7 linked regions of the Mus musculus genome follow. Each later gene encodes a partner of the first gene's protein in a complex. Links are inferred from orthologs where the notes say so. Each region holds a gene or a part of one and is shown in the gene's direction. Other genes may lie near its edges. The genes, in order: Med16, Med31, Med7, Med1, Med24, Med12 and Med18.

The links.
Region 2: Med16 (region 1) and Med31 share a complex: the UniProt entries of both Homo sapiens proteins name them as parts of the mediator complex. The link is inferred for Mus musculus from reciprocal best matches to the Homo sapiens genes MED16 and MED31.
Region 3: Med16 (region 1) and Med7 share a complex: the UniProt entries of both Homo sapiens proteins name them as parts of the mediator complex. The link is inferred for Mus musculus from reciprocal best matches to the Homo sapiens genes MED16 and MED7.
Region 4: Med16 (region 1) and Med1 share a complex: the UniProt entries of both Homo sapiens proteins name them as parts of the mediator complex. The link is inferred for Mus musculus from reciprocal best matches to the Homo sapiens genes MED16 and MED1.
Region 5: the proteins of Med16 (region 1) and Med24 are in contact, whole or in part, in a cryo-EM structure (PDB 7EMF), measured with the Homo sapiens proteins. The link is inferred for Mus musculus from reciprocal best matches to the Homo sapiens genes MED16 and MED24. Residues at the interface, in NP_005472.2 of Homo sapiens: His29, Cys30, Pro31, Ser32, Arg52, Asp54, Asp55, Gln56, Glu82, Asp102, Val126, Glu127, Gly128, Asp129, Pro130, Val184, Ser185, Leu187, Thr203, Glu204, Ser205, Cys207, Arg208, Leu209, Arg210, Gly211, Arg212, Asp232, Gly233, Ser234; in NP_055630.2 of Homo sapiens: Ile539, Leu540, Asn541, His544, Pro545, Glu593, Arg629, Met630, Leu631, Gly632, Leu633, Asp634, Glu635, Asp676, Gln679, Gln680, Thr681, Ala682, Pro702, Pro703, Lys704, Arg705, Pro706, Ile707, Lys708, Glu709, His737, Met738, Gly739, Gly740.
Region 6: Med16 (region 1) and Med12 share a complex: the UniProt entries of both Homo sapiens proteins name them as parts of the mediator complex. The link is inferred for Mus musculus from reciprocal best matches to the Homo sapiens genes MED16 and MED12.
Region 7: Med16 (region 1) and Med18 share a complex: the UniProt entries of both Homo sapiens proteins name them as parts of the mediator complex. The link is inferred for Mus musculus from reciprocal best matches to the Homo sapiens genes MED16 and MED18.

What each region holds. Positions count from the first base shown.
Region 1 is NC_000076.6:79,898,939-79,902,438, reverse strand, and holds part of Med16 (mediator of RNA polymerase II transcription subunit 16), read left to right. Parts: coding exon 1-16; intron 17-2,186; coding exon 2,187-2,342; intron 2,343-3,029; coding exon 3,030-3,238; intron 3,239-3,335; coding exon 3,336-3,500. UniProt on the Homo sapiens protein: Component of the Mediator complex, a coactivator involved in the regulated transcription of nearly all RNA polymerase II-dependent genes.
Region 2 is NC_000077.6:72,212,531-72,216,830, reverse strand, and holds the start of Med31 (mediator of RNA polymerase II transcription subunit 31), read left to right. Parts: upstream 1-1,500; 5' UTR 1,501-1,842; coding exon 1,843-1,870; intron 1,871-2,615; coding exon 2,616-2,693; intron 2,694-2,957; coding exon 2,958-3,054; intron 3,055-4,300. Other genes in the region: 4930563E22Rik (uncharacterized protein C17orf100 homolog), read right to left, coding at 1,111-1,500. UniProt on the Homo sapiens protein: Component of the Mediator complex, a coactivator involved in the regulated transcription of nearly all RNA polymerase II-dependent genes.
Region 3 is NC_000077.6:46,435,801-46,439,760, forward strand, and holds the start of Med7 (mediator of RNA polymerase II transcription subunit 7), read left to right. Parts: upstream 1-1,160; 5' UTR 1,161-1,391; exon of another isoform or gene 1,392-1,512; intron 1,513-3,960. UniProt on the Homo sapiens protein: Component of the Mediator complex, a coactivator involved in the regulated transcription of nearly all RNA polymerase II-dependent genes.
Region 4 is NC_000077.6:98,190,494-98,194,480, reverse strand, and holds the start of Med1 (mediator of RNA polymerase II transcription subunit 1), read left to right. Parts: upstream 1-1,187; 5' UTR 1,188-1,397; coding exon 1,398-1,422; intron 1,423-1,574; exon of another isoform or gene 1,575-1,674; intron 1,675-3,987. UniProt on the Homo sapiens protein: Component of the Mediator complex, a coactivator involved in the regulated transcription of nearly all RNA polymerase II-dependent genes.
Region 5 is NC_000077.6:98,726,620-98,730,791, reverse strand, and holds the start of Med24 (mediator of RNA polymerase II transcription subunit 24), read left to right. Parts: upstream 1-1,372; 5' UTR 1,373-1,420; exon of another isoform or gene 1,421-1,488; intron 1,489-1,804; 5' UTR 1,805-1,877; coding exon 1,878-2,007; intron 2,008-2,094; coding exon 2,095-2,177; intron 2,178-3,775; exon of another isoform or gene 3,776-4,172. UniProt on the Homo sapiens protein: Component of the Mediator complex, a coactivator involved in the regulated transcription of nearly all RNA polymerase II-dependent genes.
Region 6 is NC_000086.7:101,272,674-101,276,890, forward strand, and holds the start of Med12 (mediator of RNA polymerase II transcription subunit 12), read left to right. Parts: upstream 1-1,417; 5' UTR 1,418-1,587; coding exon 1,588-1,686; intron 1,687-2,222; coding exon 2,223-2,327; intron 2,328-2,498; coding exon 2,499-2,690; intron 2,691-2,818; coding exon 2,819-2,978; intron 2,979-3,426; coding exon 3,427-3,608; intron 3,609-3,768; coding exon 3,769-3,879; intron 3,880-3,991; coding exon 3,992-4,217. UniProt on the Homo sapiens protein: Component of the Mediator complex, a coactivator involved in the regulated transcription of nearly all RNA polymerase II-dependent genes.
Region 7 is NC_000070.6:132,461,122-132,465,113, reverse strand, and holds the start of Med18 (mediator of RNA polymerase II transcription subunit 18), read left to right. Parts: upstream 1-1,192; 5' UTR 1,193-1,340; intron 1,341-2,105; 5' UTR 2,106-2,176; coding exon 2,177-2,249; intron 2,250-3,992. UniProt on the Homo sapiens protein: Component of the Mediator complex, a coactivator involved in the regulated transcription of nearly all RNA polymerase II-dependent genes.

The sequences.
Region 1 (3,500 bases):
CAGATCTCGCCTGTGGGTGAGTAGTTTAGGCTTTCCTCCTCCTCCGTGGTGGCTGCTAGGCTTTTCGGTTTCAGACAGGGTCTCATTCTGTGTCCCTGGCTGGCCTTGAATGCATGGAACTCCACCTGCCTCTGGTGAGAATTCTGGAATTTTGGGTTCTTTAAAACAACAACAATAGCTGGGCAGTGGTGGCGCACACCTTTAATCCCAACACTTGGGAGGCAGAGGCAGGCAAATTTCTGAGTTCAAGGCCAGCCTGGTCTACAGAGTGAGTTCCAGGACAGCCAGGGCTACACAGAGAAACCCTGTCTCGAAACACCCCCAAAACAACAACAACAAAAACAAAACACAGAAATATTATGTTTTCATTTTAGCCTCAGATATGGGGTGCAGGGCTGCTTCGGACTGTCCACAGCAGCTGACTGTGATTTGCCTCCTGCTCTAGCAGGAGCATGGTCTTGCCCGCCTCAGATAGTTTCAGAGATTGTGTGACATTTGGAATTTTGGGAACTTTTCAGAGGGTACATACAGGATGGGGCTCTGAGAGGTGGGGTTGGTTGTGGTTTGTTAGAAGTTGTGCTCAAAGAAGAAACAAAACAGCAAAGAAATTAGATTCAAGGATCTCTCTCCCCACTGTCCTTCCTTCTCTCCTATCTCATGATGGGAAAAGAAGATCCCACAAAGCAGCAAAGGGCGGCTACATGCCTCTGGTGTGGCCGTTAATTTTCTCAGATTGATCTCATTGTCCCTCACAGTCCTGGGAGGCTTGGCTGCTTGTCTAGAGTCGGGTGCTAAGGCTCCAGAGCTCTGGTGAGGACAGCCTGGGACACCCACACTCGCACACAGGATGTAGAAACGCCCTGTGCAGGGGCCAGCAACCAAGGACTGAGCTATGAAAGGGTGCCCACAACTAAGGAAGGCATTTTACTTTAAAAGCCATGGAATCATCTAGAAATCCCAGTCAGAGAGGAGGCTGGAGTTGAGCATCTTTACCAAGGCCACCCAGCATACCTCTCCACAGCACACTTGCTACAAATGTGGACTCCCCAGGGGATAGCTGCTGAGGCTGCCCCCAGTGCCCTTCCCCTACACACAAAAGGAAGTGAGGTTAGCTGTAGGGGGGCAAGTGGGAGGGCTGACCCTGTGGCTGTGCAGGTCACTAGAGGACCTAATTGTCTGCCTAATGAAGTTGTGTCAAGAGGCCTCTGCTGTAGTTGCAGTAAGCTGCCCTTTGTGGCCAGCAAGTAATTAAATGTGAATAGCATCCCTGCTGTGCTGTGTTTGCTGTGGATGGCTGTGAGTCACTGGTAATCTGGGCTCCTGGCGCTGGTGGGCAGCCCTTCCACACTTGCACCTGCGCCTCCCTCCCACAGATGCCCAGTAGGTGGTGCTTGGCAGCCTTGGATAGCAAGCTGAGATGTGGTGACCATGGTGACAGAAACTGGCTATGGTTAAGGCAGGGATGTGGCTGGTGCCCTGGGCACTCACTAGCTTCTGGCTGCCATTGGCCACTGACGTCTGGTGTTCCCTTCATTCGTTCATTCATTTGAATTTTGAAGTCTTAGACTCTAGTGCACCCTCTCTGGCATCAGACTCTGAACCATCCTCCTGCCTCTGCCTCTGATGAGCTGGGGTGACAGGCATGCACCTGCTTTCTGCATCCCTTGTGAGAGAGCAACCTCAGTGCAAGGAAGGCCTGACTGCTCCAAACACTCTAGCCTGTTTCCTCTTGAATTTCAGTTGCTGGGGCTCCCTGTGGGGTCAGAGTCGGTTTCAAGGATGGGAACTGACATAGATAACCCATGCAACCCAGAGAGCCTGGTGTGACAGGCACTGGCCCACATTACCCATCTCATTCCCTTCTGGGGATAGAGCCCAGGACCTCATTCATGCTGGGCAGGAAGGTAATAGTTCAAGGCTAGCCTGGGCTACATAGAGGGTCCAAGACCAGCATAAGGTCTCTGAGATCCTGTTTCAAATAGGGAGAGAAAAATGCCAGGCCCGGGTCCTGCCAGTTCCCGGTCTTCTTACATCCTCAGACCAAGTGGCTGTGGGAGGATGCGCGGCCGGCCACAGTCCTCTTCCTGAATCGGGGCAGGGGTAGCCCTGGTCCCTGAGGCAGAGCTCGTCTCTCTGTTACACCTTCCCACACCCCTCTCTTTCCCTGTCCCCAACTGTTTGTTCAGTTGGTGACAAACAGCCCATGATCCTCAAGTGGCGAATCCTGTCGGCCACCAATGACCTGGACCGTGTATCCGCGGTGGCACTGCCGAAACTGCCCATCTCACTCACCAACACTGACCTCAAGGTGGCCAGTGACACCCAGTTCTATCCAGGCCTTGGTAAGTTAGGCACAGGAGCAGCCAGCACAGCACCTGGACCTGTGGGGGGGGCGGGGGGGGGGATGGATTCTGAGTGTTAAGGGTTCCTGGTCTCATGTTGTGATAAAGGTCCAGAAAGCTGCTGAATAGCTGTGTTCCTTAATATGTAAAGAGCTGTGGCCAGTTGATAAAAAGCTACATTCCTTGATATGTAGAGTTGTAGCTGATTAGCAAGTTATATTCCTTAAGATGTACACAGCTTTAGCCAATTAATAGAATACCATGCTTCTTGATAATGTAAAGAGCTATGGCTAATTAACAGTGGTTTAGGAACATGGGGTGAGATCCTCTTGCTGAGACAAATACATAATCACTAAAGTATATTGTATGTATTGTATGGTATTGTATGGTATGGTATTGTATAATATATGGTCCTGGGTTCAGATCCCTCAAGTCTCTGCTTGTCAGTCAAGTGCCTTCTCCAGCCAGCTGCTCAGCTATGAGGTAGGGTTGCTTCTGTGTGCCTAGGTCCTTATTTTCCTGGCTCTCTCCGATATGATGGGGAGAATGGATTAAAGGTGGGGTTGGTGGTCAAGCCTGAGGAATATTCTGCGAGGGAACCCGGGGCTCTGTGGTTCTTGAGGTCACTAAGGGAGACAGGGAGGGTGGCCGCTGCCCACCCCATCCTGACCACGCCCTTACCCGCAGGCTTAGCGCTGGCCTTCCAGGATGGCAGCGTGCACATGGTGCACCGACTGTCCCTGCAGACCATGGCGGTGTTCTACAGCTCAGCCCCGCGCTCGCTGGATGAGCCGGCCCTAAAGCGCCCACGCACCACATGCCCTGCCGTACACTTTAAAGCCATGCAGCTGTCCTGGACTTCGCTGGCCCTCGTGGGCATCGATAACCATGGGAAGGTGAGCATGCGGGCGGGGAGGGGCGGTGGGGAGGAGGAAGGGAGTTGGAGGAGAGGAGGTGTGGGTGAGCAGTGCCCTCAGCATAGCCTCCCCGCAGCTCAGCATGCTGCGAATCTCTCCATCCCTGGGCCACCCACTGGAGCCCAAGCTGGCCCTGCAGCACCTGCTTTTCCTGCTGGAATACTGCATGGTGACCGGCTATGACTGGTGGGACATCCTGCTACACGTGCAGCCCGGCATGGTGCAGAGCCTGGTGGAGCGG
Region 2 (4,300 bases), on another chromosome or scaffold:
TTCTTTTGATGATCTCAGAATAAAATTCAAGCTCTTTACTGTAATCCCAGAAGATTTCCAAGACTCTATATGAAGTGGCATCTTCCTCCTTTTTGTTTTCTTCCTTATACCACGCTCTCATATACTAACTGATCTTTCTCTTACATAAACATCTTTGATTTTTAAAAAAAATGTAGACTTTCCCTTCTGTCTAGAATGCACTTCCCTCTAGATCCTGATATGGCTCACTGTCCACTCACACAAATCTCGGACCAAATGTAATCAGCAAGGCTTTCCCTGACCATATTCTCTAAAGAGTTCCCTACTCTCTACCACAAGACAGACAGCCTTTCCTTCGCGGGAATACAACAGCATGTTGTCTTACTTTCCCCTTTGTTGCATGTCTCTTCATTAGAGGAAGATCCTAGTCTTTTCCACTGCTCTAGCTGCCATGCTCTAACTACTACCTAGCATGCAGTAATACTCAGTTACCATCCTGTCAATCTCACGCCTCAGGCCAAGTGTCATGGCTTCTTCTTTACTTTCCCTTCCAAGATTATTAATGGTTTTATTGATTGTTTATTAATTGTCCTGTTTTTTCCTATACCCCCTGATTTAATTTTTTAAGTGTGGGTGGAATACTATGTATGACAACATGAGAAAATGTATAATGAAATATAAGTATTAATAAAGGCCAATTAATAATGTATGAAAGATGATACCTTGCCCTGTAGGTTTCAAGCAGGTATATGATCAGGCCAGCGGTCAAGAATCATGACAAGTTTGGCCCCTCTTTGCAAATTTCAAGTCGTCAACACATCCTAGAGTGACCTAAGACTATAAAACTTACCTGGTGTAGAGACTCAAAGAATCTCATTGTCCATCAGCCAGGTTTATACTGCACTACCAGTCTGAAACCTTCTGTGCTGGCTTCAAGTTAATAGCACACTGGGGTCAACAACAGGATGGTCTAAGGTGCTGCAATGTCAATACATGTTAACAGCCCCCAGAAACCACAGCCTGTTTCTTACACTGATTTATGGGTTCTTTCCATGAAACCAAAGATGCTCGGTTCTCCTGGAAGATGGCTGGCTGGCAACTCTTCAGTCCTGGCTAAGGACCTTTGGCACTTCATCGAGCCATTCTGGCACTCTGCCTGGCTGGGCTCTCAACACGGTGCACAGTAGTCTCCACCCTCAGGGATGACGACGCCCTGACGTGGCGGGAGGACGTTTCCGTGCACTGCGAGGAGGTTTCCACGTGCTGGGAGGACACCTCAAGGAACTGAGGGAGTCGCTTCGTGGAGGGGGTGAGGGAGGGCCCCTCTCGGTGGCGCTGGGAGGTCTCCACCTGCCGGGAAGACGTTCGAACCTGCCGGGAGGACGTCTCCACGCGGTGGGATGACGTTTCCTCGCGGTGGGACGACGTCTCCACGCGGACAGTCGATGTCTCCTTGTGGCGGGTGCTTTCCACTCGCGGGGCGGAGGACTTGCTCCTAAGGGGCGAGGCCATCCTGCCCATACACCTTGGTCAGGTGGGACAAAGAGGCCCAAGGATCATGCTCTGCGTCACGTCACACAGGGAAAGGTGACGTCAGGGTGGTGTATTACGTCGGGGTAGGTAGCAGGACTCTGAGACCTAAAAAATGAGAAGTCCTCCGGCACGCCCCGCTCGATATCTGCGCGCGCAGCCGGCCGGGTCTGCACAGATAGGTGGGGCTAATTTTCCCATAAGTGAGGTTGTCCCCGCCCTCGTGTCCCACTCTGCCCCGCGACCGGAAGTAGGAGCCGTGGCTTCCGGATTCTCACCAATCGAAGTCGCGGTTCGGTCGGGGCTGGTGGTGTTCGCCTCACTCTGATTGTTATGGCCGCGGCCGTCGCTATGGAGACAGGTACGTTGTGACTTGCACCCCGAGTCTTCACCCCAAGGGAATGGTCCTACGCCCCGAAATTCCCTCCCTTTTCCCTTTTCCTGCGCTGTCTTTCGGGTTCAACTTGGCATCCTTAGAGTTGGGACCGGCGGAGGAGAAGGCTGTGCTGCTTCTCAGACTATGGTCTGTGAAAACATCTTTGCTCCTGGGTTGCTCAAACCCCTACTCCAACCCTGGCTCTTGGGGCCGTGCAGGGCCGTGGGAGAGGACTGAGACCTTCCACTGTCTGTGCTGAAGGTACTCCCAAGAACTTGCCCGAAATATCGATAACCTGTGTATTCTAATGCGGACACCGCCTTCTCTCCATTGTTTAATCACTTTGCATCATGCTTCGGTTTTGTGTAGCACATTGATTTTGCTTAACGTAATCACAGTTGATAGTTGTGGTTATAACAACTTAGGGAACCGCACAGCTATTACAGACTGTCCAGTGATCTCCGCTAACAAAGTGGCCTGCAGGTGGTAAATTCCCATTCAACTTATTTTTTCCTCAATTAACTTTAAAGGATTTCTTTACTATTTTTTGTTTTACTATTTTTGTTTTGGAAACAGGGCCTCATTACTTAGTGAATATATATATATATATATATATATATATATATATATACACACACACACACACACATATATACACACACGCATATACATATATCTTTAATTTCTAAGAAAGTCTCTTCTGCACTTTGATATTTGTCTTTTCTCCTAGATGATGCTGGAAATCGGCTTCGGTTTCAGTTGGAGTTGGAATTTGTGCAATGTTTAGCCAACCCAAACTACCTTAATTGTAAGTTAAGTACATCACTAACTTAAGCAACTAGCTCTTAATTTCTGAGAAGAGATGCAGTTTGTAATACTATTTATTACTTCGATGTGTTTGAATGGGATTTTATTTGTTCTGGTCTGTAAGTTAACTGGGCAAACAAAGGCTTGTGTTTTTAATTCCTTGTGTTCTGTTGGTAGGGATGTTAAGAGCTACTTTGTTTTAGAGATTACTAATCAGTAGTCCAGCGGTTGGTTGACATACGGATTGTTTCTTTGTGTCTTTCAGTTCTTGCCCAAAGAGGTTACTTCAAAGACAAAGCTTTTGTTAATTATCTTAAGTATTTGCTTTACTGGAAAGAACCAGAATATGCCAAATATCTAAAGTAAGTTTAATTTTTATAATCCTAAATCTGTGTATACTTTATCATAAATACAAAGTGCTGATACTGAGCAGTTTTCTCTGTGTGGGAATGGAAAATGATATTTTGAATCTTTCTGCTTTTAGTTAATGTAAGATACTGTCATCTGTAACTTAGATTATTTTAGGAATTGCATTTATTTCTGCTACCATTCTTACCTCACTCCCTTCAAACAGAACCAAACAACTGTCTTCATGGGAGCCAGCTTACTCTCTAAGTAATATAAGCCAGAACACACCACTTCTGTTCATGCAGGCTAGCTAAGATCCAGTCAACTGGTTTCAGACTATAGTTCTAATGTAATTTGGTGTCTAACCTTGTCACTTAGCACTGCCCTTGTCTTTCTGGATTTTTAATGCCTACCAAACTATAATCTAGGAAGGTAGGAAGTATTGTTTTCTGGGAGTTTTAGAGGTACTGCCCTTCTTTATAGTGAGTGTTCTTTGTTTCGAGCACTGTGCTAAATGTATTGTACACATTAACTCACTGTAAAAGAACAAACACGGACACTATCAAACTCAATAGCTTTGACTTAAAAAAAAAAAAAGAAGAAGAAGAAGCTGGCACACACCTTTAATCCCAACATTTGGGAGGCAGAGGTGGGCACATGAATTCAAGGCCAGCTTAGTCTACAGAGCTACTTCCAGGGCAGCAAGCTCTACACAGGTAAGCCCTGTCTAGATGTGCCTCTCAAAGGAGGAGACAACAGAAAAACCAGAAGTTTAGCCTGGCATCCCTTTAATCCCAGCTCTCAAGAAACAGAGTCAGGTAGATCTCTATGAGTTTGAGGCCAGCCTGGTTATGTAGCAAATTTCAGGCCAATCAGGTCCACACAGAGAGACTCTTTTTTGTTTTGTTTTGTTTTGTTTTGTTTTTCGAGACAGGGTTTCTCTGTGTAGCCCTGACTGTCCTGGAACTCACTTTGTAGACCAGGCTGGCCTTGAACTCAGAAATATGCTTACCTCTGCCTCCCAAGTGCTGGGACTAAAGGTGTGCGCCACCACTGCCCGGCAGAGACTCTAATTTTAAAAATGAGAGTAAAACATTTCAAAAATTTCTTTTTATCCTCGTTACCTTCCTGACTTGATTTGCTGCCTGTAGATTTGCTCTTCATGATGCAATTATAGATTCCTTTAGGAATCCAAATGATAGACTTGAAGTTATATTAGAAGATATAAAATGTTACATGCTAGCAAATTTTCAGACCGGA
Region 3 (3,960 bases), on another chromosome or scaffold:
TCCAGCCTCTTAGACTGAGCAACTACAGGATTCTCAGCCTTTCAGGGCTGAGACAGCCATTGCTGGACTACTTGAACTGCATCTTGTAAGTCACTCGGATAAGTCATATATACATATATATCCATGTGCATACACACATTCATTCTATCAGTGTAATAACCCCTAGTACACTTTCAGTAAGATAATAAATCTGTGGGTATAGGAAAAAACGAAGAGCCCTTACCTTTTAGAGGTTCATACCAGACTAGAGACAAAATGATGGGGCTCATATAACTATGGAAGTTGGTAGTGAGTAGACTCTTCTTTTGTTTTTATGCCTGCAATGCTCCACATATTTAAAGGAAGAAACTGAGACATTCTTGTTTGTGAAGCAGAGCTGTTTATCTTACTTTTAGTTTGCAACACTGCATCTTACGACTCCCATATCATCTGTTAACAACTCTTCTCTCTCTCCTCCCTCCCCCTCCTCCTCTCCCTCAGGGAAAGGCCAAAATGGAAATATTTCTTGCTAGTCCTGATGGCTCATTTCTATACCTCTGGCTTTCCAGAGGCTGGGAAGAGACATCTGAAGCCAGCCTGGGCTACACAGTGAAATTACCCACTCCCTCCATTTTAAAAAATTATATTAAGTTTTTTTCACTTGTCAATTTGTGGAAGGATTGTTATAGACATCTTTGAATTCCTAAATGAAAATAAAAGTGAATGGAAGGGGGAAAATGAAGGTTTAGGATGTTATTCTTAATCATGTTCACAAATATCTCCATATATATGAATATATCATAGAGTACAATCTTGCTTTTAAAAAACATTTTTGATGATTACATTAGTATAATTTTTAAATATATTGCTTATCTGTATTTTCTGACTTTTACATAAGGCAAGTATTTAATTTTAAAAGTCTCGTATAAAAGTGGGGGCTGCAAGGAATGGAATTACTAGAGAGTACTTTCTTCTACTAACAAAAAGTACGAAGAAGTATTCTCCTGACCTGACCAAGAAACCAGACAGCGGATCTTTCCCGAGAGAAGCAGGAGATGCGAAAGTGCGCATGTGCAACATCTTTAGGGCGGGAGTAGGACCTGCTATAGGACAGCCTTGGTAGCCAATGAGAGGCCCGCGTCAGAGGCTTCTTCCTGAGAAGGCAACCGGAACTTGTGCTTCCGCTGCGCTGAGGAAAAGTCACTACCGGAAAAGCAAGAAAGAGCTGAGGTGAGCGGGCGGCGGCGGTTGGCGACCGCAGCCTAAGTCTGTCTCTCCGCCCCCGCGGTTGCGTCTCTCCCGGCGTGGAGCGCCGAAGTCCGGCGCGGGACAGCCTGGGACGCCCGGGCTAGCCTTCCTCCCGGTTCCTCCGCGAAGCCTCCCCGGGGCCTGAGGCAGGCGGCCGGCCGAAGGTACACCGAGTACCGCTCTCTCCGGACGACAAGCCAGACGGGAGGTTGGGAGGTCCGAGTTCTCGTCCCCACGCCACGGGCTTTTATAATGTCGTGGTCTTAGCCTGCCCTGTCGCCATTGGTAAAGTGACAGTAGCCGCCTGGGAGCGCGGGGGCTGGGGGAGGGGAGCGAGAGCCTGGGTCGGAGCCGGATTCATCCTGTACCAGACTTTCCGCGGGGACCCAGTCACGGGGACAAAGTGAGCCAAGTGTCTGAGCTTGCGGACCCCCCCCCTCCCAAAAAAAAAAGCACCCACGAGACACTGGATCTTGTTAGTGTTAGCGAGTCACGACCTCCAGCGGCTTTGAAAAGTTCAGTTTGAACCGGTAATGGGCGGTTTCTGTAAGGTGGCCCGCTCTAACGCGGGATGCCCAAGTTACGGGGGTTTGCACTTGCGCCCGAAAAAACTAATGCGGATTCCCGTTGTACAATTCACCCCCTTCTGCACGTTGGGAATTGGCTTCTTGTCTCTATAGTCAAATTGGGAGTAGTCGTACCGTCCTGATGATTGGAGTGAGGATGCGGATCTGTCACTTACTAAAAACCTTCGGGAAACTGCGGGTTTAGTGTGGGTGTGGCTAAGGGAAGCGCAGATCCCCAACTTCAAAAGCCTTCGGGGGATGAAATTTAGGCCAGGTGTTGACTTGAAGTGGCTACAAGTAGACTTTCGTGTTCTAGGTATATACACCCTGAATTAGCTCTAACAGTTAGACAATCTGAAGAATTTGGAGTTGCTTCCCTCAGATTTAAGGTATTGGCAGTGTACATCAGTGTGAGAAAGCACTCAAGAATCTTCTCATTGTATAATGTACTTAAATTGGAAAAAGCAAAGGTTATTTTGACCATATATGTTGGGATTTAGGTTTTAAATTTATGTAGAAAAGATGTAAAAATTGCTAATGTGTTAAGAAAACTGTACTATACTAACTCTACTATACTGTAAGATGTGGCTTCCTTCAGAAACCTTGGAAAATATTTGAAATATGAAATTTAACAACGGTGTTTTGTTATAGTTGTTTGTTTGTTTGTTTTTTTGAGACAGAATTTCTCTGCGTAGCCTTGGCTGTCCTGGAACTCACTCTGTAGACCAGGCTGGCCTCGAACTCAGAAATTCACCTGCCTCTGCCTCCCAAGTGCTGGGATTAAAGGCGTGCGCCACCACTGCCCAGCAACAATGGTGATTTTTGTCAAGATGTAAAGAGAGTTTTAAGTGTTTGGGTTTGGAGACCACTGTACAGTAAAAAGGAAAGTGAACGACATGAGATTAATAGATACCATATGTAGTTTGATTATGGGAAAGAATAATAAATAAGGCATATGACATTTGCATATAAATGTTCTTTTCCAGAGTAGGTTCCAACATATGCCTACCAAAAGGAGTCAGACATGAAAAAATAGTATATCATGTACCATATAAAAGCACCCTAAATACAGACCCTTTTTCCTTAGTTCTCAGAATATGTTTGTTCTTTGAGAATTTTATACACACACACACAAACACACATGTGTTTTGATCATACCCGCTTCCACACTCCTCTAATACCTCACAGACCACTACCATATCTTACTCCCACTTTTATATATTTTAAAAATATTTACTTAGTTTTTAAAGATGGATCTTTAGCACCGGCTGGCCCAGCCTCACTGTGTAGTCCAAACTGGCCTTGAACTTAGAGCTATCGAGCTTCTCAGTCACAGGGACTACAGCATGACCCATCATGACTACAGCGGGAACCATCATGCCCAGTTTAGGTCTTTTTAAAAAAATGTTTAAAAATAACAGTAAATAAAGTCCTCTGCCAAACCTGTGGTGGACTCTGCTGCTTGTTTTTCCACTTTGTATGCTTTACATTTGTCAGATTACCTAGAATATGTGAGTCCTTAGTGCTAGCATCCTTTTCTAAACAAGCAGAGCAGATCTTACTTCACCATCACGTGAAGTCTGGCAGGCAGCAAGAGTGCTCTTTAACAGGTGAGAAAGACTTGAAGAGATCAAAAAAATAGTAGGGTTTCTAAGTGATACTGTTTTGTGTTCTCAGAATTTCCTTCATAGACAAAGTTTGCATATCTCGACTTGGGTGTATAGTTAGAGATATTAGGGCAACAAGGCTCTCACTTCTGTTATCTTCACTGCAATAAACATAACAATTCAGCATTTTTAAGTCTGATTCAGTTAAACAAACTATCTGATAAAAACCTGCAGTCGTGGGTGAATACAGTTAAGAGTCAGGACACAGCAGGCCGTAGGACCAGAGCAGTATTGTGAAGAAGTCATGGTACCTGGGAGTCAGTGACTAAGTAGTTTAAACGGTGATTCTGCAGTAAAAATGACCTTGCCATTGTCCACTGTGAGTTACAGAACCTGTCTTTACACTTGAATGTTAGAATCATAATTGTGGTGCTATCACAAAGTAGACAAAGGGCAAACCTTTTGGAAGGCAGAGTCTTTGGTGTGCAACTTTCTGTACCTTCCTTGCTCTATCCCATTAGCCTAACAAGGAAGTTTTTTTGTTTTTTGTTCTCCCCCCC
Region 4 (3,987 bases), on another chromosome or scaffold:
TTTTTTGGGTTTTTTTTTTTTTTTTGGTTTTTCGAGACAGGGTTTCTCTGTGTAGCCCTGGCTGTCCTGGAACTCACTCTGTAAACCAGGCTGGCCTCCAACTCAGAAATCTGCCTGCCTCTGCCTCCCTAGTTCCTTTCTTTTTCTTTTATTTATTATATATATATGTATGTATGCGTGTATATGTGTATATGTATGTGTGTGTGTGTGTGTATATATATATACTGTACCTGTCTTCAGACACTCCAGAAGAGTGAGTCAGATCTCATTACAGATGGTTGTGAGCCACCATGTGGTTGCTGGGAATTGAACTCAGGACCTCCTGAAGAGCAGTCGGTGCTCTTAAATTAACTGAGCCATCTCTCCAGCCCCTTCTTTCTTTTTTTTAAACAACATAACTGCTTCTGGTTCTTCAGGAAATTTCACCTTCCCACTTTCTCTAGGAATTAAACCCAGGACTTCAGACATGCTAATCAGGTATGTTGCTGGTGAGTTACAAGTCTTGTCATCTTACAAATCTTACTTTTTTGTTGTTTTGTTTTGTTTTTGTCCAGGCAAGGTTTCTCTGTAGCCTTGGCTGTCCAGAAACTTTGTAGACCAGGCTGCCCTCATACTCAGAGATCTACCTGCCTCTCCCTTCAGAGCGCTGGGATTAAAGGTGTGCGCCACCACCAGGCAAACTCTAAACACCCAAACACTAAAACTCACTGGAAATCTTTCAGTAGAGATTATTTTGTAAGGACCGGTTTTCACTATCCCCTTCCTCATTGGGATTATAGGAGTGTGCCACTTTTCCAGGTGCTCAAAGAGCAAACATTTTGTTTCGTTTGAGACAGGGTTTCTCTGTGTAGCCATGGCTGTCCTGGAACTCACACTGTAGACCAGGCTGGCCTCGAACTCAGAGTTCCGCCTGTCTGCTGGGATCAAAGGCTTGAGCCGCCACCACCGCGGGACGGAAGAGCTAACGCTTTTAATTTACAAATTGTGTAACTGTCGGGATGCAAACATAAACTTTCAGAGAGATGTCAACTCTGGGCACACACCCTTAGACGCCAAGGTGTGAATTCTGAGCCAATCGGAGCCGGGCCTGCTAGAGATCCTGCGGGGAGGACGAAATCAGCCAACCTCCGCGAGACTTTGGTGCGGTTCCTTCTTCCTCCGTCTCACAGGAACACGATTAATCTCGCGATCTTTGGGAAGTTCCGTTGGGGAAGATGGCGGCGGCCGCGAGCACCCTTCTCTTCTTGCCGCCGGGGACTTCAGACTGAGCCTTCCCCGGAAGAGTCGGGGCCGCTGGTGCGCCGCTTCCCCGGAGCCCAGGCTAACTTGGTTCCCCTCTGAGTGGCGGGGAAAGGCTCCCCGGCTCGTGGCGGACCCAAGACCTCCCCGCTGTCAGGATGAAGGCTCAGGGGGAAACCGAGGGTGAGTGACTGGGGGGTGGCGGGGAAGGAGGGGCGGTACACCGCTGCGGCGAGCCAATCCGAGAGAGGAGGTGGGGACCCACGCCCCTCCAGGGCCACCGTGCGTGGGACCGGATCCTGGTGGAATGTGCATCTTAGATCCCGACCGAGCCCTACAGATGCTGGAGCGCCTCCTCCGGGGCGCTGCTCCCCCGTCTCCTCCACTCGTGAAAGGTTTTCTGCGGGACGAGGGACGAGGAAGTTGAGCCTCAGGGTACTTTGAGCTTAGCCCGGTGGGACCCAAGGAGAGGGAAACTGAAACTTGTTGATGCTTTGTTCCAGGAGAGATCGCTGAAGATGACACTAGAACAATGTAATGTCAAAGTAATGGAGGGTGTTTTAGCCGGAGTGACTTGCTTGGTTCGATCTTCATCATAGTAAAAGCGGGCCGTTTATTACTTGGAAGGTCATAGTGTTCAAATACTGTGCTGTGTCTTTACGAACTGCTTTCAGTTGTGCACGACCGGTGGCTTTAAAGCTTGGGGGAGAGGTGTTCAGAACTATAAACTGGCAGGAACAATCCCCAAACCAGTTTCCCAGTTGAGGGAAGAAAAGGGAAGGGATAGAATCTTCTTTGTTTCTTGAGACAAGGTCCCCCTGCCTCAGCCTCCCAAGTGCGGGCTTACACACCTCTCGGCCAGCTAAGAGTTTGATTCTTGGTTCAGATACTCCCTCCCACGACCTGGACTGGCTTATCCAAAAATGAAGTCTCGACATTTGTAGCAAAGTGGACGATACTCAAAATAAGCCATATTAAGATAAATAGCACATTTTCTCTTATGAGGAATCTCGACGTAGGTATGTGTTGGTGTGTGTTGGTTGTGAAAACATGGGACCATGTGGGAACAAAGGAGGTCTGCAGGATAGAAAGGTTAGTGGAATATGAAATGAAGTGAGAGGTTTGGCTGTTTGGAGGTTGGGGCAGTGTGGCTCTCAGAGGGAGAGGACTTGGACCAAGTATAATGGCCTATATGTATAAGAATGCCAAAATGATATGCATTGCTTTGTATGTTAATTTAAAGATAATTTAGAGGCTGGGAATGTAGAGCAGTGGTTAGAGTAATGTCTTCTTGTCCATGGGTTCAATTCCCAGCACCAAAAGAAAAGGAAAAAGGGAGCCAGGTGTGGTGGCCCACAGCTTTAATCCCAGCACCTGGGAGGCAGAGGCAGGCGGTTTCTGAGTTCGAGGCCAGCCTGGTCTACAGCGTGAGTTCCAGGACAGCCAGGGCTACGCAGAGAAACCCTGTCTCCAAAAACCAAAACAAAACAAAACAAAAAAAACCCCTAATTATTTTTTTTTTAAAGATTTTATTTATTATATATGTAAGTACACTGTAGTTGTCTTCAGACACTCCAGAAGAGGGTGTCAGATCTCATTATGGATGGTTGTGAGCCACCATGTGGTTGCTGGGAATTGAACTCAGGACCTTCAGAAGAGCAGTTAGTGCTCTTAACCTCTGAGCCATCTCTCCAGCCCTAAAACCCCTAATTATAATAACGTCTTCCTTAAATTGTGCTCCAAGTATATCCTTCAAGGTGTTGTGAGCCCAAGGGTCCAGTGAGAAACCCTGTCTTAAAAACTAACACGCAAAGAGCCAACTGGTGATGGTTCCTGCCTTAGTCCTAGCACTTAGTAGAAAGAGGCAGGTGGATCCCTGAGTTTGAAGCCAGCCAGACCTACAAAGAGACAAGACAGCCAGGGAAGCTCTGTCTCAGCCGTACCTCATAGCGGCACACACCCATAGGAGGCTGATGAAAGGAGACAAGAGGATGCCTTAGAGCATAGTCTGGGCAAGCCTGGGAGGTGACCCATGTTTATAATCCTAGCACTTCATAGGTAGAGGTAGGAGTATGAGGAGGTCACCACTTACATTTCTTTACTAGGAGGTAGGGCATCTACCATATCCACTGTGGGCTCTGGGGCGTGAACCCAGACTCTCATGTTTGGCATTGCGGGTGCCTCTACTCTTGTAGCCATCTTGTCAGCCCTCAAGGTCATGGTCAGCTGGGCTGTGAGAGACTGTCTCAAAATGGAAGAAAAAAAGCAGGGAGGTGGCTGGAGATCGAGCTGAGGGTTTAAGAGCCCTGTGCTTTTGGCATAGGTTCAGGTTTGGTTCCCAGGAAACACATGTCCACGTAGCAACTCACAAGCATTTGTAACTTTAGTTTCAGGAGTCTCGGTGTCTTCTGGCCTCCATGAGCACTGCACAGACATGCCACACATCCATGAGTCAAAAAATCAAAACAATAACAGCAACCCTTCCCCCAAAAAAACCCAAAAAAATGCATACCCAACATATTTTTTTTTGAAATAAAGAATATGTATTTCATGTGTATGGTGGTTTTATCTCCCTGTATTTCTGTGTACCAAGTACATGCCTGGTGTCCTTAGAACCCAGAAGAGGAGAGCAGATCTCCTGGGACTGGAGTTGCATGTGACTGTGAGCTGCCATGTGGGTGCTGGGACTTGAACCCAGAACTTCTGAAAGAGCAGCTAGTGCTCTTTAAAGGATGCATTGGGCATTGT
Region 5 (4,172 bases), on another chromosome or scaffold:
CCAGCTATACTCTCCCTGTTCATAGCGTGCTCCAGGTACCCAGGATCCTATTAGTCTCCTACATGTCTACAAGGCCAGTTTTAGAGCCCATGTGGACTGTTTTCTCAATATTTATCCTGATTCTCAGTCAAAAGGTAGCTCAGGGAGGGGGCTGTAGTTCAGTGTAGAGTGCTTTCATAGCTGTACAAAGAGGAATGTGGGACAGAAGAGGAATGGGTTGGGGAATATAGACAGAATTTGAAGAAACAGGCTGACCTATCTCCTTGGGATATGAGATTGGGAGCCAAGAAAAAGAGGGGTGATAAAGCTCTGCCTCCAAATGTGCAGAATGGTCTTAGCCACAATACCACATTTGATCCCGAGGCCTTCTTTTTTTTTTTTTTTTTTAGATTTATTTATTATTATATGTAAGGACACTGTAGCTGTCTTCAGACACTCCAGAAGAGGGAGTCAGATCTCATTACGGATGGTTGTGAGCCACCATGTGGTTGCTGGGATTTGAACTTCGGACCTTCGGAAGAGCAGTCGGGTGCTCTTACCCACTGAGCCATCTCACCAGCCCCCGAGGCCTTCTTAAACAGTTTTTGAGACACCCAATAATCTTAACCCATATTTCCTCTGTTTTGTTTGTTTGTTTGTTTTGTTTCTTTGTTTTTGTTTTTGTGTTTTGTGTTTTTTAGACAGAGTTTCTCTGTGTAGTCCTCCTGGCTGTCCTGGAACTCACTCTGTAGACCAGGCTTAAACTCAGAGACCCAGCTGCCTCTGCCTTCTGAGTGCTGGCACTAAGGGCGTGGTGCCATGCTCAGCTTCTGTTTTCTCCTTATTTCCTTTTGTATCCAAACAGTATTCAGGATCAGTGAATTCTGGGAGAATTGTCAGATTTGGGGTTAAAATGATGGTATGTGTGCTGCTACCCACACTTCAGTGTCTCTTTTGGAATAGAAATATGAAAATGAGAGCTCTAGTGCCTACAGGGGCTTTCGAGAACAAAGGCCAAAACCCAAATAGAAGCCAGGTTAGAAGCCAAAACAGAAGCCAGGCTAGAATTCACTGTTATGCCTCGTTTCTGGGAAATAGCCACAGTATCAGAATGATTGAAGGTAGGGATAGATGGCAACATCACTGGGAGACAGAGAGTTGGTTTCTCCATAGACCCTGAGACTCTGGGTACCAGCGTACCTCAGCTCTTCGGATTATCTCAGATAAAAACCACCAGAACCAATTAGATTAATCCTTCTGCCTGTTTGGCAGCTTAGACAAGTCTTAGACAAAGAACTACAATTCCCAGAAGGTATTGTGGCAGGACTCGCCTCTTGCTACGTTTCTATTGGTTGGTGTGTGTTGCCGCCGGCCAATGGTAAATGATTTCCTTAGTAGGTGTCAAGATGGCGCTGCCTACGATGTACAACCGGTTTGTATGGTAGGCTTAAATTTGGGGAGATGGTAGATGTAGGAAAAGAAGGAATTACAACTTCAGGGCCGAGGAAGGTAGAGGCAATGGGGAGAGGGTAGATCTGGGTTTGGGGTGGAAGTGGTGAGGAACGCAGCTAGAGCGAAGGGCATAATTAGACAACCGGAGCGGGCTTAACCCTTTCCTGCTCGCTTCAGGGCTTTGTTGACACTTTCTGTCCCAATTCGAGAAACGGTTGTTCAGAAACCGAGAAGGTGACAGAGCCGCTAACTTGACGCCTTCTACTCTGCCTAGTTTTTTTCCTCTCTGTTTATTTTTCTGTTTGTTTGTTTGTTTTGCTTAAACCTTCTCGAATTTCCGTTCTATTTATGTCTCCCTTGTTCTTTCCCTCAGAACTCCAGTTCTCATCTGGCTCCGTTTTTAAACTCCCACCTTGTCACTCATCTCGCCTCCTTGGAGTGACATCATGAAGGTGGTGAACCTGAAGCAGGCCATTTTGCAAGCCTGGAAAGAGCGATGGAGTGACTACCAATGGGCAATCAACATGAAAAAATTCTTCCCCAAAGGAGCCACCTGGGACATTCTCAACCTAGCAGGTCTCAAGTAAAATGGGCAAAGAAGGATGGGAGGGGTGTCCTCAGAAAAGCTGTAAACACTCAGCCTTACTTTAATTTTCCTTGCAGAAGCGCTCCTGGAGCAGGCTATGATTGGGCCTTCCCCCAATCCTCTGATCCTGTCGTACCTGAAGTACGCCATTAGTTCCCAGGTAAAGATTCCCGACTCTTGGCTTTTGGAGGTGAAACACCTGGAGAACTGACAGTTGTCCATTTAGGCTTAATTTATTGCAAAAATAACACTCCATTTGTTGTAATGAATGAATATTACATTTATTTACTCTCTCCATATACATTTACAAGTAAAACTTAAAAAAAAAACTACATGTACTTATGGGCGGGGAGGGCATGCACATCGCAGAATGCTTGTGGAGGTAAGATACTTTTGTAGCCAGGCGTGGTGGCACACGCCTTTAATCCCAGCACTGGGGAGGCAGGTGCAGGCGGATTTCTGAGTTCGAGGCCAACCTGGTCTACAACGTGAGTTCCAGGACAGCCAGGACTATACAGAGAAATCCTGTCTGGAAAAACCAAAAAAAAAACAAAAACGATACTTTTGTAGAGTTTGTAGAGTTCTTCCCACCTTTCTGGGGATTTGAACTCATATTAGCACGCCAAACACCTTCACCTGCTGAGCCTCTTTGCCAGATCCTTGTTTCTGTTTTTGAGACAGTGTTTTATGTAGCCCAGAATGGACTTGAATTCCTGATTTTTCTGCTACCGCCTCCCACAATTGATTTGGGGGTGGGTGGGTGTTGATAATCAAACCTAGGACCTGCAGATGCTAGGCAAGTGTTCTACCTTTGAGCTATTATAATCCCTCTCTGGGTGTTTGCAAATGTTAATGTTTGTCACACAATGGTAAGTCCTGGGGATTTGATCCCAGTACACAAGGGAAGTTGAAGGCAATGCAGACTATCGCTAATCGTTGAGCGATGGGGTTTATGGTATGATTAGGGCAGAGTATAGAAATGAAGAGAGGATATGGAAGTGATGCCTAGTCCTGCCTGAGCAATCACAGAAGGCTTTCTAAAGGAAGTGATGTTTAAACCAAGGTCTCTATGGTGAGTAGAAGTTAGCCACACAGATGAATGAGAATGAAGAGCAGAGAGAGGAAATTATAATTCTACACAGGCTGGGCTGGACAAATTATAAGTTATCCACTACTGAAAGTGAGGGCTGCAGATACAGTTCATTGGTAAAGTGTTTGCTTAGCAGGGACAAGGCCCTGGATTTGATCCCCGGCACCACAAAAAACCTGAAGGATATTTGGCATTGGTGCAACAGAGCTGAACACTACCCAGCACTTCTGTTTATTATATCACATATGTGATATCATAGGCATCGAGACAGAAATTTAAGGTACACTTACCCAGAGATAGGGATGGAGCTCTGTTAGTAGTGTGCTTGCCTAGCATGGACAAGGTACTGTTTTTGTTTGTTTGTTTGTTTGTTTGTTTGTTTATGATGTTGCAATGCTATAGAGAAACCCTGTCTCCAAGCTGTCTCTGTGTAGCTCTGGATGTCCTGAAACTCACTATGTAGATCAGGTTGGCCTCAAACTGACAGATCCATCTGCCTCTGCTTCTAAGAGCTGGGATTAAAGGTGTGCGCCACCACCCCTGGGTTTATTCTTTGTTACTCTACTAAACTGTAACAGGTAACATGAGCTGCATCACAGATGACTTTATGCTGTTACATTCAAATCCCTTGGTCTCTCTTGGGCTACTCCCCCCCCCCCCCACACACACACAGGGCAACTTTATTGAGTGGTAGCATGGTCACACCCAGCAAACGTGTTCGCTCTCATTCACTCTCTCTCTCTCACACACACAGACCTTGTCACAGTCCAGTTCTCAGCCACAGGGTGGGGAACCTCCTGGATTACTCGGCTCCAGAAGTAACAGGTGCCCGAGGGAGGCTCAGGGGGAGGAAGTGGGGAGGGGGTGCAGAGAGCAGGGGTGGGATGGGTTGGGAACACCCACCAGACAGCTACACGAAGAGTGAGATTCCCCGCCCTGGTGGCTTCAGCTTGGCTGCACCCCCTTCGAAGGAGCCTTCCAAGGTGTGGCTGAACATTCAGGGTTTGGGAAGGGCAGAGTCCCACTCCGTTTTAGTCCTCTCTGCAGGCTGGGGACTGGAGGGCA
Region 6 (4,217 bases), on another chromosome or scaffold:
CCTCCTGCTCCTCCTCCCTTTTCCTTTTGATCCGGCCTGGAAGCTTTAGGAGGCAGATGGCTCACTGAGCTTTCTGTGAGTTCTAGGCCAGCGTGGGCTATATGGAAAGTTTTAGGCCACCTGCGATTACATGATGAGATGACCTTGTCTCAGAAAAGAGGTGTGTGTATGTGTGTGTGTGTGTCTATGTAATTTGGGCTGGAAGTAACTTGTTATCCTTTTGCCAATCTCCCGAGCTGTGGGAATTACAGGTGTGTGACACACATAATGTAAGTGTCAATGGATTTCTTTTTGAGACAGGGTATGTGTCAGTCACTGTTGCTCTGGATGACCTGCTTGCCCCACCACATCTGACTCTGATGACACGTTGGCATTTTTTTTTTTTTTTGGTTTGTTTTTTTCCTTCCAGAGCTGAGGACGGGTACCCAGGGTCTTGTATTTGCTAGGCAAGTGCTCTACCATTGAGGTAAATCCCCAAACCCTGTGGTTTTTTTTCTTTTGAGACAAGGGCGCTATGTAATTCTGGCTGTTCTGGAGCTCAGTGTGTAGACCAGGCTGGCCTTGAACTCAGATACTCCTGCTCCTGCCTCTCTAGTTGCTAGGACTAAAGGTGTTTGCCATCAATCTGGCTACTTTTTGTTTGTTTCTTTGGTTTTGTTGTTGTTGTTGTTGAGACAGGGTTACACAGTTCATACATGGACTTGGCTGTTCTGGAAGTCATTGTGTAAACCAGGCTGGCCTTGAATTCACAGAGATCTGCTTTCTTCTGCTGGGACTAAAGGTGTGCACCGCCAGGTTAAGGGTTAACAACAACAACAAAGGGTTAGGGGGTTGTGGTGCAGAGGGCCTGTAACCACCTGGAGAGATTATAAGCACTTCAGTTTTACAGTTGCTTTCTTTTTGTGTAAGGCAAGCACTTCACAGAGATCCGTCTGTCTCTGCCTCTGCAGGGGTTAAAGGCCTGCGCCTGGCTAGACCGGATCTTTTGTATCAGATCAGAGGTGCTTTCTTAAAACAATAGTAGTTTCTAATCTTTACAACTGTCCTTTGAAGGAAGTTTAGCATGCCCATTATCCAGATGTGAGAACCAAGAAACGAAGTGATCAGTAAAAGACGCAGTTATTAACTAAACTAAAAATTCCCGAGCACTTATTTTAGGCCAAGAACTGAGCGAGGCCACGGGAAGCCAGTTCCAGCGAGAGAGCTCAGCGCCGCGGCTGCCTTCCCTATTCCAGGTCTGCGCCTCCAGCCCCGGCCACGCCGGTGGATTTCTAGTGTGTGAAATTGACTTTCCCTCCTAGGGCCCAAAGCTCCCGGGCTGTGGGGCTCCGCCCCGCGCCGGCGAGGCCCCACCCACTCTGCAGTCAGTATTGTCCGACGGTACCCAGCGTCCCTCGGCAGTTTCCGGCAGTAATCGAGAGTTTCTAACGTGCCCCGCCTCCGCCACCCCCCTTCTCTCGGCCTCGGTCCTCTCTACCGCCGCCCGGCTCGCTGTCCCCGTGCTCCCTCCCGTCCTCGGCCCTCCGCCCCTTCCCTCCCCACCTCGCCTGGCCCTGCAGGCGCCTCAGGCGGTACGGGCTGGGCAAGATGGCGGCTTTCGGGATCTTGAGCTATGAACACCGACCCCTGAAGCGGCTGCGGCTGGGGCCTCCCGATGTGTACCCTCAAGATCCCAAACAGAAGGAGGTGCGTTCACAATTCCCGGTTCCCGCGGGGTCCGGGCAGGTGTTTCGTGAGGGAAGAGACACTGACAGTTGAGGGCAAGGGGGGATGAGGTTAGGTGAGAGAAAAAGTCCCAACAGGGGGAAGAGTAGAGTGGACTGGTGCCCTGCTGGAGAGTAGGGTCTGCCAGCAGTTCCGGTTGAGGAGCTCGTGGGTTCAGGAGCCATGCCAGAGGTGCCCCCCTCCACACTCACTCGGGCGCTCACACACAAACCTCAGAAAGTTGTTAGGGCCAGCTTGGTGAGGTGCCGGTAAGGGAAGAGTGATGTTGAGGTCGCTCTGGGGGATGTGGGAGTCTCATTGACTGTGGGGGTGAGGGTGGGGTCCAAATGAACATAAGGGCTGGGCTTTAAATAACAACCTCTTCTAGTCAGAATCCTCCTCCTCCTCCTCCTCCTCCTCCTCCCTGGCTCCCTTGTTACCTTTTCCTCTGCCCTCTCTTACAACCTCTTCTATAAGGTGAATGAGGGTGAGCTAAAAATGCTGTTTTTCTGCCTCAGGATGAACTGACGGCTTTGAATGTAAAACAAGGTTTCAATAACCAGCCTGCTGTCTCTGGGGACGAACATGGCAGTGCCAAGAACGTCAACTTCAATCCTGCCAAGGTGAGACAACCCTGCCAGGCTGAAGGAAAAGGCTGGAAGAATCTGAGGAGCAAAAGCTCCGGGTTGGGCAAACTGAAAGGGACAACCTAGGTGGCAGAGTTTATAACTCAGTGCTAGCACATTGGCATTTTCACAGTCTTCCTACCCTGAGGTCTACTTTTCCCCCTTTAGATCAGTTCCAACTTCAGCAGCATCATCGCAGAGAAGTTAAGGTGTAATACTCTCTCTGACACTGGTCGCAGGAAGTCCCTAATGAACCAGAAGGACAACTTCTGGCTGGTGACTGCAAGATCTCAGAGTGCTATTAACACCTGGTTCACTGACCTGGCTGGCACCAAACCACTCACACACCTAGCCAAAAAGGTGAAGTACTCTTTTCCTGTTCTTAAGGTCAAGGTGGGGAATGTGTCTACCTATATTCTAAGATGTAGCTATGTGGTGTCAGCTCCCTGGAGTAATTAGAGACATTGCTGTTTGTGATGCCCATCCAGGTCCCCATTTTCAGTAAAAAGGAAGAAGTATTTGGGTATTTGGCCAAATACACGGTGCCTGTGATGCGGGCTGCCTGGCTCATTAAGATGACTTGTGCCTACTATGCAGCAATGTCTGAGACTAAGGTTAAGAAGAAAAATACTGCTGACCCCTTCACTGGTAAGTAACTCTGTACACCTGGTATACCACTGATGGCTTCAAGGAGTGATGGAGCCTTAGAATAAATCTTCCTAGTCTATTCCTTGCTTCTGCATGAATCTTATGTGCACGAAATTGGTAAGCATGGAGTAATTTGAGTATCTGCTGTGTTCAGGTACTGGGCTGTAAAGATGACCAGCATATAATTTCTGCTCTTTAGATCTTAGTGGAGATGCTAAGGCATATGTAGCATAATTAAATATAGAAAGTGGTAAACATCAAAAGAGTAGACAGAAGGTTCTTTGAGACTTCAGTGGATGTAATGATTGCTTTAAGGAGGTGGCATTTGTCTACAGGCTAAGAGGATGAATAGAGCTTGGAACTCTGGTGATTGTGGGTGGAGGCAGGGGATAGAGTATTCTAAGCTTAAGAATAGTATCATATAGTTCCCTTTCCGTATTTTCTTTAGAATGGACTCAAATCATCACAAAGTACTTGTGGGAGCAGCTACAGAAGATGGCTGAGTACTATCGGCCAGGGCCTGCAGGAAGTGGAGGCTGTGGTTCTACTATAGGGCCTTTGCCCCATGATGTAGAGATGGCCATCAGGCAGTGGGATTACAATGAGAAGCTCGCCTTGTTCATGTTTCAGGTAGGAGCAAGGGCATGTTGTACATGGCATTGAGTTGCACCTTATCCTGTCCTGTTGGAATAGAATGGAATTTGCCTTTTACCTTGCCCCTGGTATAGCTCTCTTCATTCTTCCATTTACTTTATCTGCCTTACCTCTAATAGTTCCCTGCTATCCATAGGATGGAATGCTGGACAGACATGAGTTCCTGACTTGGGTGCTTGAGTGTTTTGAGAAAATACGCCCTGGAGAAGATGAATTGCTTAAATTGCTGCTTCCCCTACTGCTGCGAGTAAGACCTAGGCCCAGGGAGGGACTATTTAGAGGGATTTGAGTAAGAATTAGACATCAGAGCAGTATCTTCTGGAGAAACCTAGCGGGCTCTGTTGGTCATATCTTTACAGTACTCAGGGGAGTTTGTTCAGTCTGCCTATCTGTCCCGCCGCCTTGCCTACTTCTGTACCCGGAGATTGGCTCTCCAGCTGGATGGTGTGAGCAGCCACTCATCTCATGTCATAGCTGCTCAGTCAACAAGTTCTCTGCCCACTACCCCAGCACCTCAGCCCCCAACTAGCAGTACACCCTCGACTCCCTTTAGTGACCTGCTTATGTGCCCTCAGCATCGTCCCC
Region 7 (3,992 bases), on another chromosome or scaffold:
CTATCTATCTATCTATCTATCTATCTATCTAATGTATATGTGTGCCTAGATATATGTGTACCATGTATGTCCTTTAGCATGGATGCCAGATGAGGGTGTCAGATCCCTTGGAACTAGAGTGGCAGGTGGTTGTGAGTCACATGATATGGGTGTTAGGGCTGAACCCAGGTCCTCTGAATAACAGCAAGTGCTCTAAACTGCTTAGCCATCTTCCCAGCCCCTAGTTATTTATTTATATTTTGTGTTATGAGTGTTTTTGCAAGTGTGTATGCATGTCTACCACACGGATGCAGTGACTGATGTAGTCAGACAAGGTAATAGAGCCCCTGGAAAGGAAATTATAAATGGTTGTTAGCCACTATGTGGGAGTTTGGGACCTCTGAGAGAGCAGCAGGGGCTATTAACTGCTCAGCCATCTCTCTAGCCCTTATTAATTAACTTATTTATTTATTTATTTATTTATTTATTTATTAAAAACCTCACAATATTGTTTAAGCGTTGAATGGCTCTGCTGGAGAGATCCTTACCACAGCTTCCCAAGGTTCTCAGATTTGAACTGTGCCTGGTCCCATGTATTTAAAGTTATGGTATGCACTGTAAATTGAACAAGTTTGCTGTTGTTTTGTATTAAACTTATGGCCTTGCACATGTCAGACAAGGCTCTAGCACTGAGCTGTTTCTCCAGACCCTTGAAAGCACACAAAATATTGTTCCTGCTGAGGTCTATATATAAATACACAACGCTGTGGTTAGCGTTTCCGATTTACAACATACCCCTTCCTTTTCTTTTTCTTTAATTTAATTTTTAACTTATTCATTTTACATCTCTTTCACTGCCAGCCCCGCCACCTCCGCCTCCCTTCTTTTTCAATGTGACTCTCCTTCCTCGCTCCCCCCAGTGGCTGAGTTCAAAATTTAAATATGGTATCCAATCGGCTTTATGAGATCTGATCAAAACATCCAGGTCGTCGAAGCTGAAAAAAAAAAAAAAAAAAAAAAAAACGTATCCTAGAGCTGTCCTATGACAGTCACCTTCCACGGTACCACTCTAGACTAGGACCCCAAAGCAACAGCAGCCCCGAACCTTGCGCGTGCGCTCTTGCACACCGGTGCCAGAAGGCGGGCGCGTTCCTTGCCCTCTCGGCACCCTTACTTTTCGGGGCGGTAGCGGAGAAGTTTCCTGTCCCTCAGCTTCCTACCGGAAGTGCTGAAGGGAGAGTTTGGCGGTTTCTCTGGCTCTGCGCTGGCGGCATTTGGGGGTGCGGATTGCGGGTGTGCACGCGTGGATTTAATTCCAGCTTTACAAGGATCTGTAGCGCGGACGGAGACGTGTTGCTAGTGTAAGTGCACACGTGTCCCGGCTGCCCGCGTGGGAGGACCGGGACAGTCACTCTAACTTCATATTTCCCGCCTGGCTCATTTGCAGAGGCGTTCTCATAAAGGCAGAACCAGTTCTAGTTACATCGCTCGTGTGCCCTGGGGCCTTTCCCTGAGTCTGCATGGCCTCCGCATAGAGTGAAGGGTGGACAAGGTCCTTAGGTCTCCCTCGGATCTTTTCTTTTGTTTTTTCTTTGAGACAGTCTCACTGTGATGCCCTAATTGGCCGGGATTTGCTATATAGACCAGTCTAGCCCGAAGCTGCAGCCGTCCTTCTAACTCTGTCCCCAAGTATTGAGATTACAGATGTTCCCCCCAACACAGCCGGTTTTTATTTCTTTATGTTTGGAAACGAGGCCTCTCAGTGTAGCCCAGTGTAGTTACCATTTTTGAATATGAATGTCGGTTTCTTTCGAGCCAGGTAGTGGGTGGGGGAGACGAGGGCTGTGGGGTTAAACACCCTTGGTCTTATTTTAAACGAGACAGTAGGTTTCGGAACAAGAGGTTACATAGCTGCCTCGAGATTACATAGAAAAACGTTTATAAGGTTCAGAACTTGATACTAGATGGCTATTCCGTATCTCCGGAGCTAGAACCCCTCTTATTCCCGAGTCACCCGTTCTTGGAACCGGCTGTATAAGCAGATGTGCAAAGTTAAGACTGAATGAGCTTTGGTTTCAAGGCCACTGCCGCAGCAAACAGGGTATGGACAAGTGTGACTTTTCCAGGTGGATCCTGTGCTTCTCCGGTTGGAAGATCTGTTTGCAGTTCTGTTGTCTTGAACCTAATTAGAGGCATCATGGAGGCGCCTCCAGTCACCATGATGCCCGTCACTGGGGGCACCATTAACATGATGGAGTACCTCCTGCAGGGTAAGTCAGCCAAGGAGCTTGTGTTACCAAGTTTTCAGTTTTTTCTGGCTAGAGCAAGTTGAGATGACTTATAGGCAACTGTAGGGTTCCTGTAACTGTGTTTAAAAGAGGGTGGGTGGGAAGATGGCTCAATGGCCAGAAACTCACTCTGTAGACCCTTCTGGCTGCAGGGGCCTGGGATTATAGATATTTACCACTATTGTCCTATTGTCTGTTCTCTCTCTCTCTCTCCCTCTCTCCCTCTCTCTCTCCCTCCCTCCCTTGCTCTTTCTTTCTTTCTTTCTTTCTTTCCTCTATTTTTGTTTGTCTCCGTATAGTTCTCGCTGTCTATAGACCAGGCTGGCCTCGAACTCAGAATTCAGAGGTCCATCTGCTCTGTCTCCCAAGTGCTTGGGATTAAAGGCACAAGCCACCACTGCATGACTTTCATTTTTTTTTTTTTTTCATCTTGAAAAATTAAAACTCAGGCCCGAGGAGAAGGCCCAGCCGTTAAAAGCACTGGCTGCTTCTTGGTTCAATTCCCAGCACCTACATGGCAGCTCACAACTGTGTGTAACTCCAGTTGCAGAGAATTTGATGCCCTAGTCTGGTCTCCATGGATTCAGGCATACAGGTAGTTCACAGATGAGCTTGCAGGCAAAACACTCCTTCTTACACATAAAATTTAAAAACAAAAAACAAGAACAAAACAAAACAAACCAAAAAAACCTCATACCGAGTCTCCCTCTCACCTCTCCACTGTGTTTCCTACCTTAGCTGCTTAGATGCCCCACATGAGTGAGGTCCCCAACTGGCTTATTTCTCCTAGCATTATATCCTTGATAAAGTCATGTCCTATGACAGAATTTATATTGTTTTTGTTGTTTGGAAGCAGTACTAAGGAGCCCAGGCTGATTAATTTTTTTCAAGTATGATTAAAATGATTCTTTTAGATTTTTAAATCTTATTTTATCTGTATGAGTGTCTTGCCTGCATGTGTGGGAGTCAGAGGTCAGACAAGTATGTCCAGTTCCCTGAAAAGGAGTCGTGGACGATTATGAGCCACCGTGTGGGTGCTGGTGGACACCGAACCCAGGTCCAGCACTCTTAGCTGCTGAGCCTCCTCTCAAACCCCCAGGCTGACCTCTAACTGGCTGGGTGTCCAGGAGCAGTGTTAACCTCTGATCTTCGGGCCTGAGCCTAACTGTGTGCATGCGCTGTGCATGCTGACTGGGCTGTGTCTGTTGTTGAGTTAGCATTGTTATTTCATAGTTCATTCATTTCGGTACGTGTCTTAGCTTTTTGTTGCTCCACGGCCTCCATTTTAAATGTGTATATGAGCACATCACAGTGCCCTCACCTCTCCTAGTACAGTTGGGCTGGGCATCTGGTCTCCTTCTCATTTTTGGTTACAAAGAAAACAGCTGATACAGGTCAGGGGACATGTGGTGGTTTTATCTTTATATTTATTTTTGGAGCTTCAGTTTTTTTAATTGTTTTTTTTTTTTTTTAAGATTTTTTTGTTTTGTTTTTGTTTTTGTTTTTCGGTTTTTCGAGACAGGGTTTCTCTGTGCAGTCCTGGCTGTCCTGAAACTCACTCTGTAAACCAGGCTGGCCTCTAACTCCAACTCGGAAATCCACCTGCCTCTGTCTCCCAAGTGCTGGGATTAAAGGCATGCACCACCCCTGCCCAGCTTTTTTTAAGATTTTAAAATACCATTTTTAGTTCTCTGTGCATGTGTTTCAGGGGATGGTACATGCATG